Arabidopsis thaliana: one gene and its partners. The protein of the gene in region 1 interacts with the protein of each later gene in a pairwise test. Each region holds a gene or a part of one and is shown on either strand. Other genes may lie near its edges.

Region 1 (8,803 bases):
GGATTAATAGAACATGCATAAAACTATTTATGGTAAATATTCCATTCCTTTGTATATTCACAAATTTTATATTCTCTGTATTCCCTCAGTCAAAATATTCGTTTCTGATTTCATTTGATTTCCATATACAAAATCGCTGTTTGTAGAAATGAATCTTTTCTAAATGGCGTTTTCATTAATTTATTTCTTTGTTTCAAGAAAAATATAGTTTGAACAAAGACTTTTTTTCTTCTTAATCTCTAAAAGGTAACCAAAGAATTTCTACTCTAAACGAACCCTACTGGATATTGAGAATCTTGAAAACCTTTTTTTTTTTTTTTTTTTTTTTTGTAAATATGATATTTTAAATTTTGTCAAAAAAACAAAACAATTATTGTGCTGGATTTTTTTTTTCTTCTCAGTTATTCTTAAATGTTCATTTCTGTCCGTGTATAGTTTGATGGCAAGTACGAGAAACTGTACAAATCAGCATCTGGAACAATCATAAACCACCACTTTAGGCACATCGTTAAACCTGGAATTCAGCTCAATATGTTTGTTTCAAAGGAAACGATAGGGACCTGCTTCTTGTACGTTTGGGAGTATTCAATAGAACTCTAAGAACAAGGAAAGAGATAAACTCTCTTTTATTAAAACTCAAAAATGAATGACAAAGCAACAAAGCTAATGGAGGAAAATCCAAATAAAAAATGCAAATGTAAAAACAAAAAAAATCCAAATTTAAAATAAAACCAAAACCAATTTTAAATTAAACACCAAACGGTCCAAAACCAGCAAGTAGCCGTTTGCTTTAAGCGCCTCTTTCTTGAAGATGTTGCTGTATCTATCACTCCTCCATGACCTTATTATCAGTTTCCTCAGCAGCACCAACATTATTGTGCGGAGAAGAACAAACAAACGTTTCAAGACTCAGTTTGATCACACTCGTAGCCTTTCGAGCCAATGCACTTCGAAGCCTATTTGGAGAAATATCGTGTCTAATCTCTGCGTCTTCGCTCATTCTTGTTAACTTAGAAACATGAAGTAGATTTGTTGGTGGAGGTTCCTTTTGTTTGCTTCCTTCACAACTAATCCTGCTTAGTTGGTTTATTGGACCAGAAACTCTCCGTGAAGGTAAAAGTTCGCGTCTCTCGAGAAAATATTTCGAGGCATCAGTGAGTATCTTCAGTGCCTCTTTAACACCACTACCAACAGATTCGTCACGGTCAAGGGAAATGTCAATAGCTAATGTGCTATAACGATTAAAGATTGTTATAAAATCTGCGGTTCGCTCGACCGCTAAAACATCATACCAATCAACTTCACCATTGACTTGCTTCTGGAAACCCATGCACACGTCAAGAAGTGCATTGAGACGGCGAAGACCACCAAGTGCAGGATTAATTTGTTTTGCCTTGAGAGCAAACTCTTTGGCTCCAGCAAAATCACCCGCTTTATATTTTTCCACTGCGATGGCTTTCGCTCGTTTAGCTTCTTCTCGAATGATTTCCTTTCTTGATTCGTCCATGTGCATCATTTCTTCGTCAAAAGGTCCTTTTATGTCTCTTAGTTTAGATCATGCAAAAGAAAGAGATTGATCAGAAAATAAAACAACCCAAAATTGAACATTGCTGAAAGCAGAAAGTGAGAAAACTTTTGCCCCAAGTTATCCATAGAGATAAAAATAATTCCAATATCTATGAAAACATAAATGGTGGAAATAGGTATCTAGATAGATGTTCTTTGCATCAAAGTTCGATAATATTAATTTTGAAATTTAAGAACCAAAGATATTGACTCCCTTAAGATCAAATCTTGAAGTCTTAGGTAAGGAATCCATCAAAATTGTTATAAGAAATATCTACTCCTAAACAAACAACTCATGCCAAATTTAGGAAAACGGCAATAATGAATAGACATTTTGCGGCCGAAAGTTTGTAACAAACTTAAATCCGAATTGAGTTTTCCCGCGTAAATCCGTTGGAAAACAAAGCCAAAACTCTTACGAAAATAAACAACATGGTAAACTTTAGAAAACAGATTCAGGAATCTAGAACAGGCTTGTTGCTAGAGATCGTAGAGACCACTGGATTAAGATGAAACTTAACAAACATTTGCAAACACAAAGATGCTGATATAATCTATTGAAAACACAAACCATTAACACCATCAATCAAACAAACTTTACCATTCACTAATCTCAGAAAAATGGTTTTAACATAAATCAAAGCAAAATCACTTATCTCTTTCTTATACAACACTACACACCAAACCAATTGATAGCCAAAAAGAAGTCCATAAATTTTTTATAATTTAGGGATTATAAAATCCTAAAAGTTGAGAACCCATTTGTCAAAGCAAATTTGATTAATGACAGAAACTCTAGAAAAGATAAGACAAGGACTAGGAAAAAAAATTCAAATAAAAGCACCGCAAGGTTCTATACCTTGTGAGTGATTTAGACGAAGAATTAAATTTTCTTAGCTTCTCTTATCTTCGTTTTGAATTAACGTTTAAGTAAAGATAAAAACACTCTCAACACCTTTAAGATGATGAACATGTAGTAAAGATTAGTAAACAAATACGACTCTTAAGGTAAAAAATATTAATTTTATATTTTCCAGTTATGTTTTTAATTCAGTCAAAGCACTCATCAGTTCCCAATTTCATATTATGTCCATACACAAAATCTCAAAACGAAGGAGAAGAGAATAGAACAAGAACGATACCTAGGTTTCTCCCCACAATCAAACTGAAGCATCCAAATTTCATAAGTTCAAAAACCATAAAGTGATACGTATTTGACAAGAATTTCGTACATGCATATAAATGACATTTTATGGTAAAACATTTCCCCTATTTCAGTGTTCCATTTCAATACTCAAAATCTATAGTTGGTATTTGTAGAAATTAATCAAATATAGTTGGTTTTTTAATTTTTCTTTCAAGAATTTTTTTTATATCTATTAAAATTATGTTTATGTAATGTAAGTTATCTAACTCTTTTAGGGCAATTATTTTTTTAATGTTACATTTAAATACTTGTGAACACCAATTAAAGATTTTGAGTATGGAATTCAAAATTGCTTACATATATCTTCCAAAGACCAAATGAAAATTGCTTACACAATTACACTATCTTCAAGTCTTTGAGACTCGGTGATGAAGCCTCAAGTAAAACTTCCTCGTCCTATAAACCACACTCAAACTCAAAACCATAGCCATTAGACACAACATGGACATGAGACTGCACGTGACTGAATAACACACCGAGCCCGTGCAGACGAGCGACTCAGTCTCTGTGGTGGGTCCGGCTTGCTTTCTGGCGTAGTAGTCATAGATGTTACTAGCGATCACACCTGAGAACACAAATGACCCAATAGGCAAAGCTGTAATCTGGAAATTGTAAAGAGAACCGAAGCTCTTCAGGCCAAAAATGTCAGAGACTGAAGCAGGAGCAATCGCCCAATGAGCGCCATAACCCATTCCTATCACAATGGTCACTACGTAGATCTTCCCTGGCCAATCTATGGCATAGTAGATGAGCCCCAAAGACATTATCGCCTGAACCACAGACATTGCCAACGTTCTTGGAAGTGAGAGTTTCCTTTTGAAGAGGCAGAAAGAGATGAATCTGTCAGTAAAAAACACAGATGCTTCTTAAAAGCGAAAGTGAAATGGTTAAGGGTTTTGTACCTTATGATTAGCTCAGAGAAGTAGCCACCAGCAACACGGCCGAGAAAATTGGAGATGCTGATCAGTGAGACAAATATTTTGGTGTTGCTGTACCCGAGGGAATAACAAATCTGACCAAGATTGTCTATAATCGTGATTCCCGAACCTACACCTAGAACCAGAGACATAAATATAAGCCAGAAGTCAGCTTGTCCCAAAGCTTGTAACAAGGTGAAATCTTCTCCTATACACGGCGCTCTTTTCTTTTCCGGCGGTCTGTCACTTCTCTCAATTAAAGTTCTAGCCTCATGCTGATCCACATTGGAAGTTCCTTCTTCAGGCTTCACTGAGGTGACATTATTACCCGAGATGAAAACCGATGAAAAAGGGACAAGAACTGGAACAACCATGAAAATGACAAGGATGGCTCCAGAGGTTGTGATAATCGTTTGAGTCATATCAAAAACACTCTGAAGTACCAACAATCCTAGTAAATATACCGCAAGGACAACACAGAAACCGTAAATAGCCAGGAATCTTAAATCATCAGATCGCAAGTTCGTTCTGCAACTTCTTTCCACGGGTCTAACAATAAATAGTAGAGCAAGAACCACGACTGGTGGTCCAAGAGCAACCATGAGAATAACCGAAGAATCATGAGAAGGGTTGAACATCAAATAAACCTGAGTCAAGATTGCTCCACTCAAGCCAGAAAACCCTTTCAGGATTCCCACCACAGGACCTCGGCTTTCTGGGAAGTTATGAATGCATGACACAAGCGACGCTGTATTGTAGTATGTTTCCCCATTTGTTCCCACGAATATAGCAACAAACAACTACATGAACAAATAAACCAGAATCAAGCAGGATCACACTCATATGTAAGCTTTAACATCTTTTTTTTTTTTTTTTTTTGAATATCTGGAAGTTCAAGCCAAAATTAGAGAATCGTACAAATAATCAAAAGCAAAGCACAATTACTAACGAAATCGCAAATGTGTAAGCAATTTTGATTTGTAAAATTCATCTCACCATCCAGAGAGGCAAATTAGGCAATTGGCCAGTGACGACGAGCCAAACAACACCGTAGCCGAAAAGGTTCTGAGTTGCACCGACGAGTAGAACCACCCAGGAAGGTGAGACTTCAGATAAAGCACCGGAGACGAATCCGATGGCGTCACCGAGGTTTTTAGCTACGCCGAGAAGAGCGATCTGTTTCTGATTGTAGCCAAGGGAAGTCTTGATTGCCGGAGACATAGAGCCGCCGAATAGATAGCCAACGCCGGCGACGGATTGGACCCACATGGCGCAGACGAAAACTAGCCATCGGTCGTTGACTAGGAGCTCTAGTTTGTGACGCCACAAAGTCATCATAGTCAAACGCTCTCAAAACTTTCTATTTCTTTTTTTTTTTCGTTGATTCATATGATTACTTATTTTGTAATTTTCAGTTTCAAAGAAAAGTTTGGACAACACCGTAAATACAAATAAAATGTTTACTTATTTATATACAATTCATGTGTAAGGTTGAGAAACAAATAAGCAACAAGATAAAAAAAAAAAAAAAACACGAATCAATGAAGAGGTATACACTTCACAAGCTTAGGTTTAAAAATTGGTTTGCAAAAGCATTCACTTTTGTATCTCCCCAAAATGAATCTGTTAGTTTGAGTTGCGCTTAAGGTACACCAAAACTCCAAGTCCAGCAGCAAGAGCAGCCCCGGCTGCAACCGTTTTGTAAGCGGCTGCCCATGAGTTTGACTGGTCGTAGTCCATATCCTCTGAACTTAGACCTCTCCTGTGCCCTCTTTCTTCTGTGTAGTCCAAATGCAATTTTAAACCCTGCACCATTTGGAATCCCCAACCCAAATATACTCTTCTTTAGCCCAAAATCCACATTAACCAAAACGAGACCGCGGATTTAAGGTATCATTTCATCCTAGTTCTTTACACTAATTGACAATAAGTATGGATGTACAATTTATTACCTTCCAGCCTATTGATTTTGCATGTTCTACAGCAGCTCCAAGATCATTATCTGATGCTAAAACAACTTTGTCATTGTCTTCATCTTCGTACTACACAACACAAAATATGTCAACAAAAGAAGAAAATTTTTCCTATCTTCTCGTTTAATAAGTTTTCGAATAAATATGTACCATTATCTGAGGCAAGTTATCAGGCTCAATGTCATCCCCCATTCTTTGTAGGATTGCTGTTATCAGAGTTGTCAAACTCTGTGTTTCTGTTATTGAAAAGTAAAAACAAAAGGTTAATGGACTAAGCAGCATTGGCATAATAGGTGTCCTGTTTCTCAAGAGTTATGATTTAACGTACCACACATAAATCTATGCATTCGTCCCTTTTTATCTTGGAGTTTAAAAGCAAATGTGTTGGGATATGAAAATGATTTTGTTACTTCTATCTCCGAAGATAATTTCATCGACTCTTCTTCACTGAAAAATCATATGATCCAGTTTAAGAAACCACCTTATGGTCAAAACTAAATGGTTCAAAGGAATATGAGTAGAAACCTCCTCGTTTCATCGCCATCTTCGTTAGGAGACAAAGCCATAGCAGAGTCCCAAAACTTTTGCATCATTGAGTTTGCTGTCTCATTGTTTATTCCAGCCGTACTTCCAGCCTTGTCAAAAGGAAATAAAGAGTTTATAGCAAAACAAGAATAGTATGCAACAAATATATCATGTTCTTTCTTCTCTCGGATTGTTTATCGATCTTGTCTCATGTTTTCGACTTCAACTAGAAGAGAATAATAGAAGAAAAAAAGTGTACCGTAGTAACAGCAGCATGAGTTATGTGGATCACATCAATAACAGCGACAACATCTCCATCTGTATGTAATCATCAACATTAGACAAGTGTTGAAATAACAATGCTTCATACTTTATAGCTCAAAGTCAGTTTTGAGGACATTTTGTTACCTTTATCCAATACAGGAAGATGCAGAAATTTGCCATTATGCATGATATGTAAGGCTTCAACAATTGCCATATCAACTGTTGCAGATTCTGGATTCGGTGTCATAACCTATAGAATAATGGGATTGAAAAGAAACAACAAAGACGAAAAATGAGTACTCATATAAATCTAAGAGTTGAAAAGAATAATTTCAACCAGATTCAAAACTAACGAGCATAAGCATACATACATATATAGCGAAAACACGAACTTAACGAAAACTTTACCTTCTCCACAGTAGTTGTCTCTTGAGGAAGGTTTTGGGATATCACCCGCATCAAGATGTCCTTTGAGCTAACAAAAATCACAATTTAAGATCAAAGTTCCACTAGAAAAGATTAAAACATGATATTGTAGAGAAAAAATTTCAGAACCATAGAAACGAAAAAGAAGACAAGGGGCCAAATATGACACTTACGTTAGAATCCCAACTAATTTGTTCTCCACCATCACCATGGCTGCGCTAGACTGATATTCCACCATCTTCATGGTTACTCCTAACACAGTCTCATCCAATCCAACCTTTAAAACCCTGTACGTTTTCATTCCAAATTTACTCGTTAAGCTTTGCATTATTTCTCTCAATAAAACAAGTATAAGATCAAAATGATTTCAAATATGATAATAAATATAGAGGAGATATTACCTACTTTGTATTCTCCGGAATTATAGTTGAAAGTGAAGGCTTGAATATTCGTTCTCTAAGTGTCTCCATAAAAGTGTTTGGTCCTATCGTATATCCAACAAAAACGCCATCAGAGGCATGCAAGAAGACATTTGTGATGGATTCAAATGGAGATACTCAATTCCATATTTTTAAACATACCAGCAATAGATGTTCCCCAGTTCTTTTCAACGCCTTCAACAGCCGCAGCAATAGCCTTACCCTTCTCAACTGATCTTTCCATGCGGGCAATAGCATCATACAAACACTTTGCAATATCGAGAAGCGCGATAACTTCTCCATTCTCCACCACCGGCAAATGTCTAAACTTGCCTGCATATCCACTAGTCAGCTCAAGTACCAAGACCAACAAAGAACTTATAAAAGAACAAGAAATAACAAACCTTGAACCATCTTTTGAAGAGCTTCAACAGCAATAGTATCAGACAAAACAAAAACAGGGTTCTTGGTCATAACTTTAGATACAGGTGTTTCTTCAAGGTTAAGTTGTTTAGCAATCACTTTTGTTGCTATATCCTTAAAAAAAACAAAAGAGATAAAAAAAAAAACATAAGTGAAAAGTCCAGTTTGCATTTAGAATCCTGTTCATGAAAACATGTATACCCTATCTGTTAGGATCCCACAAAGTAATGCATTAGAATCAGTCAGCAATAACGCATCAACACGACGAGCAGCCATTCTTCGACAAGCTTCAAATAAAGTTGTGCTATCTGGTACAGTAAGAGCCTTACACAACCTTAGTCTCTTTACCGTTCTCTCACCACTCCTTTCCCCACTCAAGCTTCTACACCAAGAAACAACATGCAAACATTTACTTCCAATCTCATATATTTTGAAACATGTATCATTCCTCAGAAAAATGAAGAATTGGAAGAGAATGGGGTGATGATTACATGGAAGAACGAGAAGATGTGAGAGATCTTCGTGGGAGGAGATCAGAGCCACCACCACCACCACCTTCGTTTTCTGAAGCTTTTTTCCTTCCTTGAAATGAATGACCGGAGAAGGAGAGACTTTTCCTCGACGGACCACCTTGGTTAGCCATTTTCAACTATTCCGATCTCCTCCTTCAAATTCTCTGAAACACTTTAATAAAAAAAATCATCAGATTTTGATTTTTTTTTTTTTTTTTGCAGCAAATGCATATTCGAATTGGAACTTACCAAATAATCTTTCTCTTTCGGAAAATTTTTGATATCAATTCACAGAATAAAAGAGAAATTCAAAACTGGGAATTTCGAATCTTCACTTCGATAATGATCGACGATTTCGAATCGCCTAGTTGGGGCACGATCGATAATGCAGTTCGAAGGAATTGGAATTTTTTTTGTTTCTGGGAATCAATCGAAAGAAATTTTGGAAGAGAAAGACGAAAGGAGAGGGAAAGCAAAGGGCCAGAGGAGATAATAATTAATTGAATAATTAAAAAAAAAAAAAAAAAAAAGAATCCGTGGTGGAACTTTTCTTCATTTTGCCAATCTGTTA
Region 2 (9,215 bases), about 16 Mb from region 1:
ATTATTCATGAATACTGATCAAACCTTCATTTTGATTGAGTACTGAGTAGGCATGATGAAGCTGAACACTTTTTGTCCTTGGAGACCATTAGTGATTGTGGAGAAGAAAGAAGTATTATGTCTGATTTTACAACGGTTTATAGCATCCATCCGTTGATGCTTGTGTCATTGTGTGTTAAAACGTCAAAAATGGATTTGTGATAGTTTTTACTTTTACCTTTTTGTTTGTTTCTTCTAAACTTATGGAAATGTTCTTCCTAGCTAAAGAGTAGATATGATACCTTTTCCTCCTTATATAGAAGGTTTTTACAAATTCTCTCAGTTTATAGAACCCTAATAAAACCAAATCAAATACACTATGCATGAGGGCTCAAATGGTCCAACAGAAGAGTAAGTAGATTCATGTTCCAACAAACTTGGACAAATATGAGAGCCAATATGGTAATTTTCAAGAAACTCAACTTGATCTCGAATTTGGAAGAAGCTTTAGGTAGCATTAGAAAATCCGTGGTGAGTCGTAGCTTTTCCTTGTGGTCTTTTGGGGATGCGCCAACGTTAACGAGCTCAAGACATGACAATTCCTCCAAGAAACGCTTCATTTGCTCCACCTCTTTGATACTTCCTTAGTACTCAGTTAATACTAGGACCATGATGATAAACGAGAACATCCCAAGAAGCATTTGCAATCAGATACAGCAGACCAGACATTGGATAGCCATATATGAAAGACATTGAAGAGTCTAAGATTACACAACAAATAAAGGAACTTTTTGTTTTTATGTTTCGAGAATGGAGACTAAACACGAATATATATGATGCTTTGTGTGTGTAGTATCATCGAATAACATCTAGAATTACAGATGCACTTACTAGATCAATCAAAAGAGTTTTTTGTAACGTTTTTCTTCTTCTGTACTGCAACACACCCATTTATTGTCTCTCAAAAGCTTGCGGGATTCAGCAGACATGAAATCACCGCATGGTTTTGCGTTGCTTTTGAAATTTAGTCATCAGCTGGATCTTGTGGAGATTCTTCAGCAGTGCGTTTGATTGTGATGACTGGGCATTCTGCATGCTTCACACAAAATTCACTCACTGTTCCAACAAATACCCTGTCCAGTGGTAAACAAATGTGAACTTGATCAATATCTGTGATTTCAAGCTCAAGCAAGTACAAGAGCTAATGACGATTCTCGGTGCAGTATAAAGTCTAAAGCATAAGCAGTGATTGATTTCCATGAGGTGTCATCAATCATCATATGCAAGAAAAAGGTCTCAGGATTTCTAATAAACTCTTGATCTGTATTTTTCCCGAAACCAACAAGTCATTTGAGACTACATAATGACTAATCGATATGGTATAACTGTAAAGCAAGAATAAGTCTTCTTGAGGCGTGTGTGAGGATTGTACATACTTTTGGAATGGGCCGAGACCACGACTTCCCACAACCAGAAAATCTGGCCGGACTCGCCTCACTTCATGGCATATCAATTCTGTGGGATCACCTTTCCTGATCCAAGCCTCGCACCCAACCTACAAGTTCAACAACTACCATGTATCAGAGCCACCAAAAGTTACTGTGATACAAGTGAGGGACATAAAGACAGATATGGATCTATCAATGAGTTTAAAGGAGTCGTTTACCCCAATATCATGACATTTCTTAACGAAAAACTCAAGAAGGTGAAGTCCTTTAGCCTTGTTACGCTCCCTCATTTGTCGGAAATCATCAGGGGAAGCATATATACTGTCCATGTCATCAAAACCTGGTTCCCAATTCATAATCAGAACAAGTAAGATCACATTTATTAATGCTACCTAACAAAAATAAAACTTGGTACATTATTGCATTGCTCCCAATGAAGAGGAAAAACATCACATAAACATGAAGAAAGTCTTTTCCATAATATTTCTTAGAAATCAAAAGCACAATTCTTCTCAGAAGTGGATCTAGATTCTTCTAACTAACCAAAAACAGTTCTTGTCGGTTCTTTGACTTCCATTGAAAACTCTACGACCCTCACAAACAGCTAAAACACTAGAGATCAAGTCTTGAGAACATATACAAACACCTAATTTAGCCTGAATTAATCTACTTATACCCTAAAAAATATCCGTTGAGCATCATCATTGAAACTAATGATCAACAACATTAAGCAGACAGATACAGACTCAAATCCAAGTATCACGATATTCAAAATTCAACGATCGAATGAGAGAGAGAAGTAACCGTCTTCGTCTTGAACTTGAACGTGGAGCAAGAGAAGCTTGAAGCCAGAGGTATTGGACCGAACGATCTTCTTCAGTGTCCACTCGAATGCTTTTTTGCTACTTATCGACGCGTGTGGATAGCCTTTGAGAGTCGATTCATTCACCGCCACCATCACTCGAGTAGGCTCGCTCTCCATTATTGTTTCACTCGACTACTCTCTCGAGCTCTATTGGTTCCTAAAAGAGGAAGGCGGGGAAGCAGGAATGAACTGAATAACAACTATGTCAGGCACAAGCAGAGAGGAAAGGGTATTGTGCGCGGACGGCGCACATTAGAGCACGATATCGTAATAAATTTTGCTGCCGACTAAAATGCGCAGGGTCGGTTTAGGAGCAGAACTTTGTTAGTGGGTCTCTTATCTAGCCCAACTATTCAATCTGTTTATAAACGGGCCCATTGCTATATTTTGGGTGTTATTGGTAGGCTAGCTTCATTTTGTTATATAGTTTGTACTTTATTGATTTAAATAAAAGATTCTAATTGTATAGGGTTTTAAGTATTTAGTGAATATGAGAAAAATCATATGAACTTATAAGTGTTAAGAAATCATCTTCCAATCATACTGAGTATAATTTACTGGCATTATATAGAATTAATTGTAACTAAAAAAATTGAATGACAAAAGCTTTGGAATGTGATAAAAAATCATCAAACTACCAATAACCACTTCCTCTCTGTTTTTTTTTTTTTTCAAAACTAGTTTTATGAATCAAATTATTTAAAGGTATAAGTCTCTAACAATGTGAACACTTCTAGGTCCACTGTCGAGCTAATTCATGATATTTTGATGGAATGAACAAATTTCTGCAGTTATATATCACAAATGTGGTTTCTAGCATAGTGGATCGATCGAGATGTATATATGCGAATACGCTCACGAGCGAGACCTATCATAGAATAGAACACATAGACTAAAACATTCACATTTTATATTTATTCGAATATAACTAAAAAATCCTACAAATTGATCAATCATTGAATTCCAGTGAAAGAGACTCTACCAAATCCAAGATGACCAATCTGATACAACTCTAACCACACTCTCTCGGCTTCAACTCTTGCACTTATTCGCGACTCATCATGATCTTCTCCTTTACACGACGTCGTTCTCTCCTCCTCCTCCTCCTCCTTCGTTAAACTCCCATCTCTCTCTACCACAAACCGGTGATCATCATAATCTCCGCCGCCATAACATCCTCCTCCGCCACCGCCGCAGCCGCATTTCTCACCCTCCTCGGCTGTCTCAAACCGGCGGTGATGGTTATTATGATGATAAAACTCATCTTCACCGTTGATATTCCCGCGGCGTTTCCTCCTGTGTATTACTCTCCGCTTCTTCTTATTCCGACCGCCGCCGCCGAGACATCGCCGTCCGATCATCCACGGGACTTTGACGAGAGTAAGAGTAAGAAGGTTGATGATCGCACATGGACAGCAACAAAGCGCTACACAGTCAGCAATCGCCGCAGCCGCCCACGATCGGCATCTCTTACTGGAGCATTTGACTTCGTCGCCGTGAGTGTGGTGGTTATGCCGTCGTCGACGGTTCTCTTCGTCCACGGCGTCGTTTTGACAGTGGGTCCCGCCATGGTTTCTACGTGAAACTCGATGCGGGTTTTCCTCCATCAAAACAAAAGCCTACTACAACAAAAAATAATACAGAAAAAAATGAAGAGCTTGGTCACTGTAATATATATATACGAGATACATCGATATGTATTTAATTTATGGATCAAAGTTTGAAAAAGGTTTTGCTTACAAGTTGATACGTATAGGAAATAGTAAAAACTTTATTAAAACAAAAAAAACAGAGAGATGTAGGAAACAACAACTCGAGATTTTCCATGCATTTTTCACTTAATGACCAAGACAGTTCAGGTTTAGATTCACTATTCTCTCACGCTCTTCTTTATCGCGTGTAAACCACGACATGTAACGACTTCGTTTTTTTCCCTCATGTAAATCAAACATACTATATACATAAGGGTAAAAAATAAGGTTTGGTCTAATGAATTTTATTTATAAATTGCAAGGAGCGCGTGGAAACGGATCCATATTATTATTTTGGGGGATTTTGACCATCGGAAATGCTAAAGTTTTTGAAAGATTTTAAAAAGGAGTTCTCCTAGGGATATGTAATGAATTAATGATTATTGTTTTGGGCTCTCTGAGATTAATTGTGGTGTAGTAGCCTGATAGGTATCTCGTTAATATTTTTTTTGCTAATTTAAAAGTTTTACACAAGGTTTAAGAAGTTGTATTGGATTTAGCATTTTGTTTTTTACGTTCTACTAGTATATAGTATGGTCATTTACCATTTAGAAAACACATTCCACTAAAAAAAGTTTGTTATCCGAAGATATGCGACAAACAAAAGATGGAGATTGTTGTACCAACAAAAAATTTATGGTGATGTTTATGGTGATTAATATTATAATGTTTAATTGATGAGAAACTATTTAAAAATTAATGTGGCAACGTGGATGCTAGTGGGAAGGATTCTCTTTCACGTGGATTGCCGGGTCTTCTTATGGCCCAATTACGTGGAACGTAATAAAATACAATTTAGAATACACTAATACAGTATACGAAATAAATAGTCTATTGTTCAATTATACTTTAGTGTTCCTACTTAACTTATGAAACAACTGATAATCAATAGCCCTATTAATTAATAGTCCTAGAAAGTCTATTAGGAATCTCCTTGCAATAATTTCCAGTAGACGATAATATATTTTTAGATATGTATGAACTACATATTAATGGGCTATAAACCATGATTCATAGAGATGTTACTTTTGTTTTCTGTTAAAAATGAATTAAAGATATTACTTTTGGACAATTGGACTCCGGCAAATGTTGTAGAATTATATCTCTCTGTTTCATCTTTACGAAAGCGAAAATGTTAATCAACTATTCAAATGCATTCTGATTATACCATCTATTACAAACCATCATACAGTATATGTTTCGTGTTTAGAGATAAAGAAAAATCGTATCTTTCCTTTTTATATCGTAGTGGGACCTAGTACTATTGTCCCTTTTCACTTGTATAAGGTAAAAGTGCAAAATGGTGGGTAAATTTAAAAATGTAATTTGCATGTTCATTATACAATACTGATATAGTGGTATATTCACACATATGAGACCCTATATACTTTGTGTATATGGATATCATTATTAGAAAGCTCAATTTCAATATCTATGGAAATTTTCTTAAGGAAAAATACAATTAAAGTTAATTATGAAATGTATGTTTGTATATCCCCAACGTGGTAGTCACAAATGACACACATGCAACCTAAATATCCCTCTAACTAATCATATTGTTAAAATAAATAAAGCTCTTCGGATATGTAAAATCTACGATGAACTCGATAGCTAATTCAGATTATACCCGTAGTTAAGACCATAATCGTAACTGGGATTTATAGAAATTGAACCCAACTAAGAAACCCTAATCGAAAATGATGAGTCATGAGAGAAATGTAGGATTACCTTGGATGATTTCCTCAACTTGCTTGATTTCTGGTAAATATATATAACTATGGATGCATAAAGTTCAACAGAAATACAATTTCATTTGGTATGTTGTGTATTGTAGTAATCCTAAGATATGATTTGTGGGTTTAGCTAGGTTTGGGATGATGGATATGATAAAGGAAAGAAAAAGGAGAAGAAGGAGAAGTAGGAGAAGGAGAAGAAGGAGAGGACGATTAAGAAAGATGATTTGGTGTAGCAAATGCTCCATTTTTACATATATACATGTTTCCTTTTTTGTTTCTCTCTCTCTCTATATATATATTCACGTGTACGGAGCTTAATTAATTACGTTAGTTATAATTGCATTAATTTTTTATTTTAGCAGCTGAGTAAAGCTCTATTTGAATGAGCTAAACTCGAGTATTTTTTACGACGACATATGACAAGAGCTATATGTACAGTTAGGTTTTGTAATAATTTTTTGGGTATGAGCCGTATGATTTAGGTTTTTAACCGAATTAGAGGAATATTTTGCAATACTTTTACAGTTATAACTAGATTTTAACCCGGGACTATATCTTTTTCAAAAAATAAAAAATTAATTTGTTTAGTAGATTAAATATATATAATTTATTTTTATATTTTCTAAATGTACAACTCTTATATATATATATATTATTTAGTATATAATTACTATGTTTAATTTTTACTGTTTAAAAATATAAAAAGAATAACAAACAGTTTATTAAGTTAAAATTTAGATTATAACTAAATAATTCAAATTTTAATTATATTTGTTTTATTAATATAATGATATTTTGATTTATAAATATATATATAATTTCACCCGTGGTATACTGTCTCGTATTATTATCGATTCAAAATTGTCATATCATCTAATCTCGTTCAGTGAAATTAAACATATCTAATAGATTTCACCCGTACTATACTGTCTCGTATTACTTATCGACCAAAACTCGTCATACCATCTCGTATTTTTGTTTTAATAATACTTTACTTTAAAAGATATATAATTCAAATCAATTTAAAAGTTTTATTTCTAATGATTATTTAATAGTTTTAAAGTTCATATATTATAAATATTCTAAACTCGTCTTATCATCTAATCTCAACAGTTAAAATTAAACATTATTTTTTTTATTTTTTGTTCGAATAATATTTTTATTAAAAGATTTATAATCACATTAATTTAAAAGTTTTATTTTAAATGATTATTTAATTTTTATAGATTTCATATATTATAAATATTATAAAACATTTTTCCGTTAAATATTTTAAATGTTTAATTAACTATAATATTTATCTTTTAATCAAGTATATATGAATAATGTCCTAAGATTTCTCATTTTTTAAATAATTAAAATTGATGGAAATATAATAGATAAGGAAATGCTACAAATTAGGAATATTAATTAATTGATAATAATTGATAGCAATGACATCTCTTGTAAATAAGTTTCAACTTAGGATTTATTTGCTAAAATGACTGAAAAATGTATATATATATAGATTATACATCCAAAACGTTAGCTTTACGTAATTAGATTTGAGTTGTTATTTTTTGAATGAACTAGTTAACTGAAACTTATGAGTAGATTATTCGTTATTAGCTTTGATACAATCAAATTGAAAGCCGGGAAATGTGTGATATGTTCAGAGATTCAGTGATTCACGATAATGATAATCATATAGATTTAAATATCACACATTTTAAAAAAAAATATATATATATATATAAGTGCAAATTAGTAAATTACAACGAGTCAACGACAATTAGTTAAATTTGGAACAAGATAATGGATTTCTCATATATACAAATACCATATGATAATATGTGAGGTGGCTAAGTATTTTTCAATGATACGATGATGTAATCATGACTATATATATATAAACTTTCAACTAAAGTATATATATCATACTGATAAGAATATTCGTTTACGCGAATTAATTAAGATTACAATACCTATACCATAATTCGACTTTACGTGTACAATATACTTAATATATAGGAATACAAAATTACAGTCTTTAGGTGTTGGTCTTATGATATCTATAGGAGATTTCTTGAGGAGGCCTTTGATGAAAATAAAGAGCCAACCATTTTAGTTTTTTAATTTATTAGTTATCGATTAACGTAATCATCAAATCAAAATCTTCTTGATGTGTTACATTAAACGACTTGATACTCTTAACAAATACAACATGTAAACTATAACCTGCTAAGGTAGGCTGCTAGTAAAGGTCGGAATTAGAGTATCATACAAGTATAACTTCTTTAAAGTTTTAAACTCGTTACGTTACGTTCCGTGTGAACAAACAATTATGATCAGCATTACATTTTACAACTGTAGTGCTGTAAACGATAGTTAGGGGGTCGATACTCTATTGATCAAACTTATTGTTTGAAACATTTTTTTTTTTGTTAGAAACGTTGTTTGACATTTTTGTTAAAAGACACCAATTGTGAATGCAGCCCCATCTTTTGTAAATTTCTTCACTAATGTTTTGGATTTTTTATTGGTGAAATATTTGATTTTCAAAAAGATTTTTGATGAAAGTTGTAGATCAGTAATGATCTTCTTCTTTTTCTTCTTTTTTTTTACCAGAAAAAGGAAAATGCTTTGGTTAAACAATTTGTGAATTCAAATGTTTTTTTTGGATTAGTTTAACCAATATTTCCTCACAGTTTCACATATGTGTAAACCGGTTCGAGTTATTAGTATTTACTCCTATTTAGTAATACACAATCGATAAGAATAAGTTCTTGTACGAATTTATAGGAAATATCGGAGCTTGGTGTTTGATGAGTCCCGAAGACAGAGAGAATCAAATCATGGGAACTCGGCCCAATTTGTGTTGCTTTCCATGCATTTTCACAATAGTTTTCTAGTGTTTTTCAACACTAAATAAAAAGAATAAACACCCAAAATAGAAATTAGAAATATTTATTCATTTGATAAATTTGAGTGACTTCTAAGCAAATCTGAACATCTCATTACCAAAAGTATCTTAGAGTATGTACTTAATTATGTTGCGTTCAATGATGGATGTATGTACAATGGTAACAGTGCCATGAAAATGGTATACATTAAAGTTTCTACATTTCAGTGCTGCATTTAGGAGCTGAGTTATTTGCAGAGTTGATATGAGTTTTTTTTTCTTTATAGTTTCAAATATTTACATAAGTTTTTAGTATTTTTTAATCAGCATAACTTTATAAAATCATTTATTTATGTTTTATTTTGTGTGATTTTCCGTGAGTTTGAACTTAAAAAAATAGGACAGCGTTCACGCCTATTTCTCTCTGGTGCTGCCTTTGGCGTGACTTTGTCTTCAAAACACTTTGCACGTGCACTCGACTCTCCGATCGCCACGTTAGCTACTGAGATTGCTCTCTGTTTTAATTTTTGCGTATTGAAAGATAGAAAAAAAGAA
Region 3 (7,898 bases), 2.4 Mb from region 1:
TAGCTTCTCATTTTGATATGATTATTACAAGTCATGGTCATATAAATTCCCTAAAAATATTATTCTTCTTCTTAACTATTATAATTACTAATTAAGATCCGGTATTAGTTAAGCATTGCAATATTCGATATCATTGGTTACCACGTTGAAATGTTTCCATCGAAACAATCAAAACTATATGCAAAATAATATTCACCAGCCAAAAATATATTATACATTATGAAATGTATAAAAAGATATATGTACGAAGTGTGATATGGTTCGGTTTGGTATTAAAGTTTATGAAATGGTGGAGTACACTTGACAAAGCAAAAATGTACTTTACCTTTTAACATATTTTCTAGTTAATTTTCGATTCTTTCGATTTTATATTGTTTTATTATATGAAAAAGAAATAAGAGAATCGATGATAATTGCACGTCCCACTAATGACTTATTCAGCATCTCATCTTTTACTTTCCCCACTTAAATATTTCCTTTTCTTCCCTTCGTGTCCGCCAAAGTCCTCGGGACAAAAGAAGAAAGATAGAATTAAAAAAGCTAAAATTAATAACAAATCAAGTGAGTTATAATAATGATATGATTACATTAAGATTAAAATAGATAGAAGGACCCACTAATTAGTTAAAGTATCTTAATAATGTTCACATCTGTCAACTTTTTTTAATAAGATTTTCTTCTGAGTTGTTTCAGGTTTCGGTCGTTTCATTTACAATATTAATATTTTATTCAATATTCGTTTTATTTTTATTTTTTAAGTCTTTGAGATTTTAAGGTAAAACATTTCTCTTTGGACAACTTCTTTGCTTTTCTATATAGTGACATTGATTTGGTGAAGGATGGTTCTAGCTCCATTCCATCCATGAACAATATGTAAGAAATTGTTTATATTCATTTTGATTTTGTTTTTAATTATGTAGGATACATTTACTATAATGTGTTTTTAGTTTTTTACTAGTTGTAATATTATTCTGTAGATTGTTTTAATCTGTTTCTAGTTTTTTCTGTAATTATGTCACAAATCAAAAATGATATAAAATTTTATCTTTTACCAAAAAAAAATAAAAAAAATTATGTAGGATATACTTACTATAATGTACTATTAGGGCATCTCCATCAGTGAGATACCTTTTTGGTTTCTAAAAAAAAAATGATATTTGTATTTTAATAAATATTAGTTATATAATTAAATTTTAATAATAAAATAATATTTGACCAATAGATGATATATATAAATATTTTTATGAGTTTCTCAAAATTTTTCATTTGAAAAACTAATTTTACTTTCTTTCATACTTTTTGATTATATTTTAGTTTTATATTAAACAGTTATTGATAGAGATGGTCTTATATTCCTGTTACTTTTAGTTTTTCTTTTACACAAGTTACGAATAGTTGAGTAAATTTGTAGTCATGATTGGAACTTCTATTATAGACCCCCCATAAAGGAAGAAGGCAAAGTCATCGTGGAGTGGGTCTCTTACACGTCCACGTTTCAAACATCGTAAACAATGTGTTGATTGATTACTTTGTCTTTATGGACCAAATTGAGAAAATAAAAGGAAAAAAGAACGTTTGAGGTGGTTGATTGATTAGTGACTTCAACCATATCTTCTTTCATACTATACTTTTGGAAGTTGGATTACACCGTCTGTGTCGTTGCTGCCAAGTTGTAATGATTTAGCGTGACTGGAAAATTACATGTCTGTATGATTAATGAACCTGAAGCAACAATATCAAATTAATTGAGAGAATATTTCTTTGGACACTTCGACGTAACTTCGTTTGTGATATACAAAAAACATCATACGATAACATATATGATTCGGAAAAATGGTTTAAGTAATTAATTAAGTTAGTTTTAAGTTAAAACTTTTAACCATGAAAGGATACATTTGTAAATTAACATATAAATAGTTAATTAAGTTTTTAAAAATTGGAAAGTGGTCTATGTTTCAAAAATCATTGTTTTTAGTGTAATTTTACAAACTTCCCCTTTTTACTTTTTTTCTTTCTAACAATCAAACCCTATATATTTAGCTATTTGTTTAATTAAACATATTTTAAAAAACTACAAATATATGATTAAACAGATTCTAGCGAAATTATAGTAATCATATACATAAAGTGATCCAAGTATTAGCTCTAAGCAAACTTTCAATACTTTGCAAAAAGAAAAAAAAAGTTTTAGTTAAGTCCATAAAATCTGTTTTCCAAAATATATTTAATAAACATCGAAAATTTATAATCGTACAAAAACAAATGCGACATAAACTTCGACAATTTATCATATATATATATATATATATTTTTTTTAGTGTAATTGGGTTGACATTAGTTTATATTTATTCAACTCTGATTGATCGAGGAAGAACTCAACAAATTTTTATTTCAGCTACTTTCTTTTAAGCCAAATTATGTCATCTAGGCACATCCAATGTTTCAAATGAAAACTTAGAAAATTAGGCTGTTTTGCTTAACATTTTGGGATTAACGATTTTAAATTCTAAGGTAGTTTGTTATTTCAAAACATTTTCGGCTATATATTGAAATTAATTTACATAACAAATTTAGACTATTGTCAATTTTCAGTTTAAAATAAAATTATCCGTTAGTTTAGAGTTTAGGAATCATAGTCCCACCTATCTAAATGGAATGCTTTGAATACACTCCATAATCTATTTTGTCCCCACTAATCCCGCCGCCTAAGTGTTTAACCACAACACGGGTTCAGATCTAATCACTCATTATTATAAAGTCTAATACAATCTCTCATACTATATTTTATGACATAAAGTTGAAATCACTATCATTCTTTACTTGATTACTTGTTTATTTTTGCCATGACTCGGACGGACAATCAACCTCTGTGTTAATCTTGAATTCAATTTGCTTTAGTTAATGTTCCAAGGTGCATTGTTCAATCACTGTTATTTCAGACCCAAAAAAAGTATCACTATTAGTTTCACAAGACTTGAAATTTATTTGCTTTAATTATTGTTCCTGCTGGTAATCACTATTACCTAGGCTATATGTATTTTTTTTTTTGTCAAATAATTTGATTCCATTCAAACGAACAAGAAGATTACAGAGATCCATAGGAGTTCAAAGAACTCTGAATTTAGTACATCAAAGGATAAAGCATTCAAAAATGCAAAACATAGATAAATACGATAATACGACCGTAGATCCAAAAGAGCTAGAAGACATGAGCTAAAAAGCATCTTAAAACAAACGAGACATTGGAGAGTCGAAGACACATCCACGAACAAATCGAGGAGTGGATTGGTCACTAGACATTGCCATTGTGACGTTGAAAAAGAACCCATAACCTTGAGTTTCGCCGGCGCAAAACATGATACATCTTCAACTACAAAAGATAGTAACACGGTTAGGATACGCAACCGATTTCTCAGCTTAAGAACCAGAAAACGAAGATGGTCATTTGATGAGACGGTTCTCTCCATAAAGGAGGAGGGGGAAAAAAGTGATCTCTCCATAAAGGAGGAATTTAACACCAAATGTCTCTCTTTTGTGGAGGAATTTGGGTAAAAGGGACCCTTCAGATCAGATAAAGGAAGATTCAGAGCTCTAAAACGCAGATCGAAAGCTTTTCGAACAATCGCAGAAACTTTCTTTGAAATCTGAAACCAATTCAGAATGTGCACACTGCTAGATTGGGGATGCTGGTTAAAATCGATTTTGTGATGCTTCAAACGGTGGGTAATGAAGATGAAAACCGGTAGATATAAACCGGACAGAGCGAACAGGGAGACTCGAACATGCCACTGTCGGAGCCAAACCGGATCACAGAGCATTAAAATCTTCTTAACAATACGTTCTTCCAAAATTATTCGAGATGATTTCTTCAACGGGAAACTGAGCCGTTGAGAGCAATAACACACTAATAATGTCGTCATAGTTGTAGTCATTAAGCTTAAGACATTTGAAGAAATGATGCAACTTGGAGGCATGATTAATGGGTTGTAATATAGGTTGAAAGGAACAGACCTGGGCCAAGTTGAAAAAGAAATTGGGCCAAAATCCACATAAATGGGCCGAGATGAGATGCAATATGGGCCAAAGGACTGCCAGCAGAATTGTAGATCAAGCCCATGAAAGGAGACCATTGGAAGAATTAGGTTTAAGTTGCTTGCCGGCAGAATCTTCACCGGTACGGACGACGAGCATGAACTCCAGAACAACATGGCTTCTCGAAACAAAATGCAGATGATGCTTGGAGAAGTCTTCATTAAAACGCGAGGAGGTAGAAGTATTGTCGACGATATTCGGTGAGAAAGTTCTTCGGGGAGACCCGAGAGAGATCTAGATCCATTGGATCCGAGAGAAACAGTGAGACAAATCTCATATTTCAAAGATGAAAAACAGTTGGAATCAAGGGATTCCTCTTTTGACGACTTCGAAACCAACGTTGTGAACAGAGGATATGGAAGAAGGAGACTCGCCGGAACACACCTTCTTTCTCTGTCACATATCTCGGAGACGCCATGGGAAGAGGCCAAAAAGAGAAATAGATCCAAATTCGCAAAAATTGAAAGAAAACAGAACTAAAATGAGCAGGTCTTGAAAAGGAAGCTAAGAGAAGACGAGACATCCCGACGCCGGCGAGTTAAAACTCCACCGGCGTCGGAAAACATGGCCAACGATGGTGTCTCGAAAATGGTGCCTGGGAGAGAGCTAAATTATTATCTTAAGATTTCCAAGAAGAATATTGTCTTTCTTCTCTATAGGCTATATGTATAATAATAGAGATTACATATTGAAACTTCTTCACCTACTCTGGGCTAATATCCTAATATTAATCAAAACCTTATTATGAATTAATATGTGGACATTACATATTGAATCGGACTGCTTAATTAATATTTCCTTTGTCTCACACATAAAAAAAACATAAAAATCTCATTTAATTTATCTATTTTCTGTAAAACATCATTAACTACATCTAATTCTACCAATAAAAAAAATATATTGTAAAATATAATTAACCAAAAATTATTAAATACATTTAAGTTTTGAATAGATAAGTGAAAACAACACTTATTTTATAATTTTTTTTTTAAAACTATATATAATCAGAAATAGAGGGAATATACAAACTACTAACATTGAAAAAATAGTATTCGAAGTAAGAAATTTATTATTTTGTATACATGATTTTAGTTAAAGAAACAAAATAATTAACTAGTACCATTCATGTTGCGGATGTTAAAGATCTTTATCGAATAAAAGGATTGAAAAAATTAGGATTTGATTGTTTTAAACGGAAAATGATATCATTAGTTTCCATTTTCCAATGATGCTAAATCAGTTTTTAAAGATTTAAAAAAAACATCGAATATTTTAAAGCGGCCCAAGCCAAATGGAGAGAAAAACGCAAAATCTGTTTTAGCTATCGACCTTCACGTTGGGATTTCTATGTAATCATTATACATTAGACTAAAAAGAAAAATATGTTCTGGAAGAAGACTTTGTTTTTTATAATACTAAGTACAAAGAATAACACTGAGTGCTATCATCATCATTCATGTTTGGTTTATATTGGTCAGTCATGATATATTGGCCGTGACAGCAAAATCTAATCAGTTTAATATCACAATAAAATAGCAGTTGGATTAGTTATGAAATTAATTACCATTGTTTATTTTTTTGGTTGGGTGTTCTGCAAAAAAGGCTCTCCAAATCTCTGTCTGTTTTATTGCAATTTTACTTTCCGTCGTCTTCAAAAAATACAGAACAAATTTATGAAATTAAAAATAATATGTTTTATAACCTTCATATGTATATTTTAAAAGGTTTTATGGTTGCATACATTATATATTCAAAAGGGTTCATGGTAATTTTAAAAATGGATTTAAACTTGTCATCACGAGAGATTCGATTTGCTATGTTGTTTATAAAAAAGTATTTTATGTATTTTTTTATGTATTATGAAATCAAATGTACGTTATCGTAATACGTTTACAATATATATATATATATATATATATATATATATATATATATAAAGGCTAGTTTGCGTGTTATTCTTGATTTTGTAGGATTATTCTATATTTTTTAGAGTTAGAAATAAAGTTAAAAAAATAAACGATTTTGAAGATGTTTTTGTACCATACCCTTTTCTTTATTTATAGTTTTTTCAGGTACAAGTTTGCGCAAAAAAATCTTTATTCTAAACAGGCTTTTATGTCTACATCAAAACATTATGGGCTTTGATATTTGGATGGGCTTTTAAACACCCAAGTCTGCGAAGATATTTGGATGGGCTTTGAACTGGGAACTAAAGTACATTGATAAATTCTAGAAATAAGAGAAAATTGCTTTCCGTATTTTTGCACCATAGAAGAAGTTATATCTTACTCGTTTTTGCAGAAATTTAGTCAGTGAAGAAGTCAACTCTCAACTCGTTTTGGAGAGATTCTTCGAAAAGTATTTGCAGTTTCCATTTTTGGACTAACGTTACATGGAAAATTTCCAAAATGTACATTTCAGAAGATTAATTATACTAATAATAGTAATAACGACGATCAATGACGATAATAATGTCATCATACTAAGTATATATATATATCTCACAAAGATATGACTTACACATTAATTAATTTCACCAATCCATGTTGCAAATTCAAACAAGAATCGATCAAACGATCCTATTGCTTGCTCTTCGATGGTAGGAGCATCTTTAGTTTCTTCTTCTTCTTCCAATGTATTATTTATTCCAACGAGACCTCAAGTATTCATCAATTTCCGAGGAAAGGAGCTATCCCTAAAGAAAATATGAATTAGACATTATATTTAGGAAGTTGCTTAAATATATATATATTTGTGAGTTTTCCTAATGAGAATAGGAACTTATCTAATTCTTTTGTTATATAAGAAAATGCAAAGATGTTGCATAACTTATGAGTTTACTTTAGAGATTGAGAGATTAAGAGAGAGCTTTAGGTTTTTATAGTTATTTTTCTAAAGAAATAAAGAGAATCATTCTTTATATTTTGTTCTTGATCATATCCCTAAAACAAGAATTGGTATTAGAGTTTCAATGTTAAAGCAAAATCCATAGAGAAAGAAGATGAGTGAGGTTGCGGTGGTACTGGAGAAACAAGAAGGCGGAGGCGGAGGTGGACCGTCTTCGATACAATGTCCTATGCTCAAATCAACTAACTATACCGTATGGGACATGAGGATGAGAAGTACACTTAAGGTTCATAAGGTATGGGATACTATAGCGACCGGCGAGACCATACCTTAGCTTCAATGACTTAATCCAGCTTTGACTTAACCACCAAATTCTAGCTTCAATGACTTAATCCAGCTTTGACTTTCGAATATTAGTTTTAAGTTAGACTTAATCAAGTTATGACAAGTTGACAACTTAACATGTTGAATTATATTGTTTGAAGGATTCAAACAGATAATAACGTTGGAAAAATTCGTTTAAAAACTTTCTCTAAAAGAAAAAACCTTTCTCATCATGGCGGCTTCTACCTTTTCTTCGTCGTCTTCTTTTGTAGGATTGATACCATCACGGCCTTTAGTGTTCATAAAGTCGCAAGAAGAAGATGTGAGCAAAGGTCTGATCAATTTTCTCGAACCGGTCTTACAAAACAAAAATATAAATGTCTTCATAGACGAGGAAGAGGTAAGAGGCAAAGGTCTAAAGAATCTGTTTAAAAGAATCCAGGACTCAAAGATCTCACTCGCGATCTTTTCAGAGTCAAAATGTGATTTTAATGATTTACTGAAGAATAATGAATCCGCCGATGAAGCGATTCCTATATTCTACAAGGTAGATGCGACTGGAGACTTGGCCGATCTCCAAAACAGGTATTGTTTCTTTTCCTCTGTTCTTGGTGAAGGACACGTTTTACTTCTTA

What was found. Proteins that work in one complex are often made in the same cells at the same time.
Region 2: the proteins of AT5G50520 (region 1) and AT5G14690 interact in a protein complementation assay, tested with the Arabidopsis thaliana proteins (one large-scale study listed by BioGRID).
Region 3: the proteins of AT5G50520 (region 1) and AT5G45095 interact in a protein complementation assay, tested with the Arabidopsis thaliana proteins (one large-scale study listed by BioGRID).

Annotation. Positions count from the first base shown.
Region 1 is NC_003076.8:20,566,560-20,575,362, forward strand, and holds AT5G50520 (Major facilitator superfamily protein), read right to left. Parts: upstream 5,098-8,803; 5' UTR 5,029-5,097; coding exon 4,687-5,028; intron 4,491-4,686; coding exon 3,676-4,490; intron 3,587-3,675; coding exon 3,121-3,586; 3' UTR 2,974-3,120; downstream 1-2,973. Other genes in the region: AT5G50510 (Molecular chaperone Hsp40/DnaJ family protein), read right to left, coding at 827-1,516; AT5G50530 (CBS / octicosapeptide/Phox/Bemp1 (PB1) domains-containing protein), read right to left, coding at 5,317-5,496, 5,643-5,732, 5,814-5,899, 5,992-6,110, 6,189-6,298, 6,448-6,506, 6,597-6,702, 6,861-6,927 and 6 more; AT5G50540 (uncharacterized protein), read right to left, coding at 8,541-8,803.
Region 2 is NC_003076.8:4,730,617-4,739,831, forward strand, and holds AT5G14690 (uncharacterized protein), read right to left. Parts: upstream 6,030-9,215; 5' UTR 5,772-6,029; intron 4,097-5,771; exon of another isoform or gene 3,912-4,096; 5' UTR 3,900-3,911; coding exon 3,246-3,899; 3' UTR 3,042-3,245; downstream 1-3,041. Other genes in the region: AT5G14680 (Adenine nucleotide alpha hydrolases-like superfamily protein), read right to left, coding at 1,004-1,112, 1,416-1,534, 1,646-1,767, 2,232-2,409.
Region 3 is NC_003076.8:18,204,196-18,212,093, reverse strand, and holds AT5G45095 (uncharacterized protein), read right to left. Parts: upstream 4,732-7,898; 5' UTR 4,254-4,731; coding exon 3,069-4,253; 3' UTR 3,042-3,068; downstream 1-3,041. Other genes in the region: PP2-A7 (phloem protein 2-A7), read left to right, coding at 7,094-7,234, 7,571-7,848.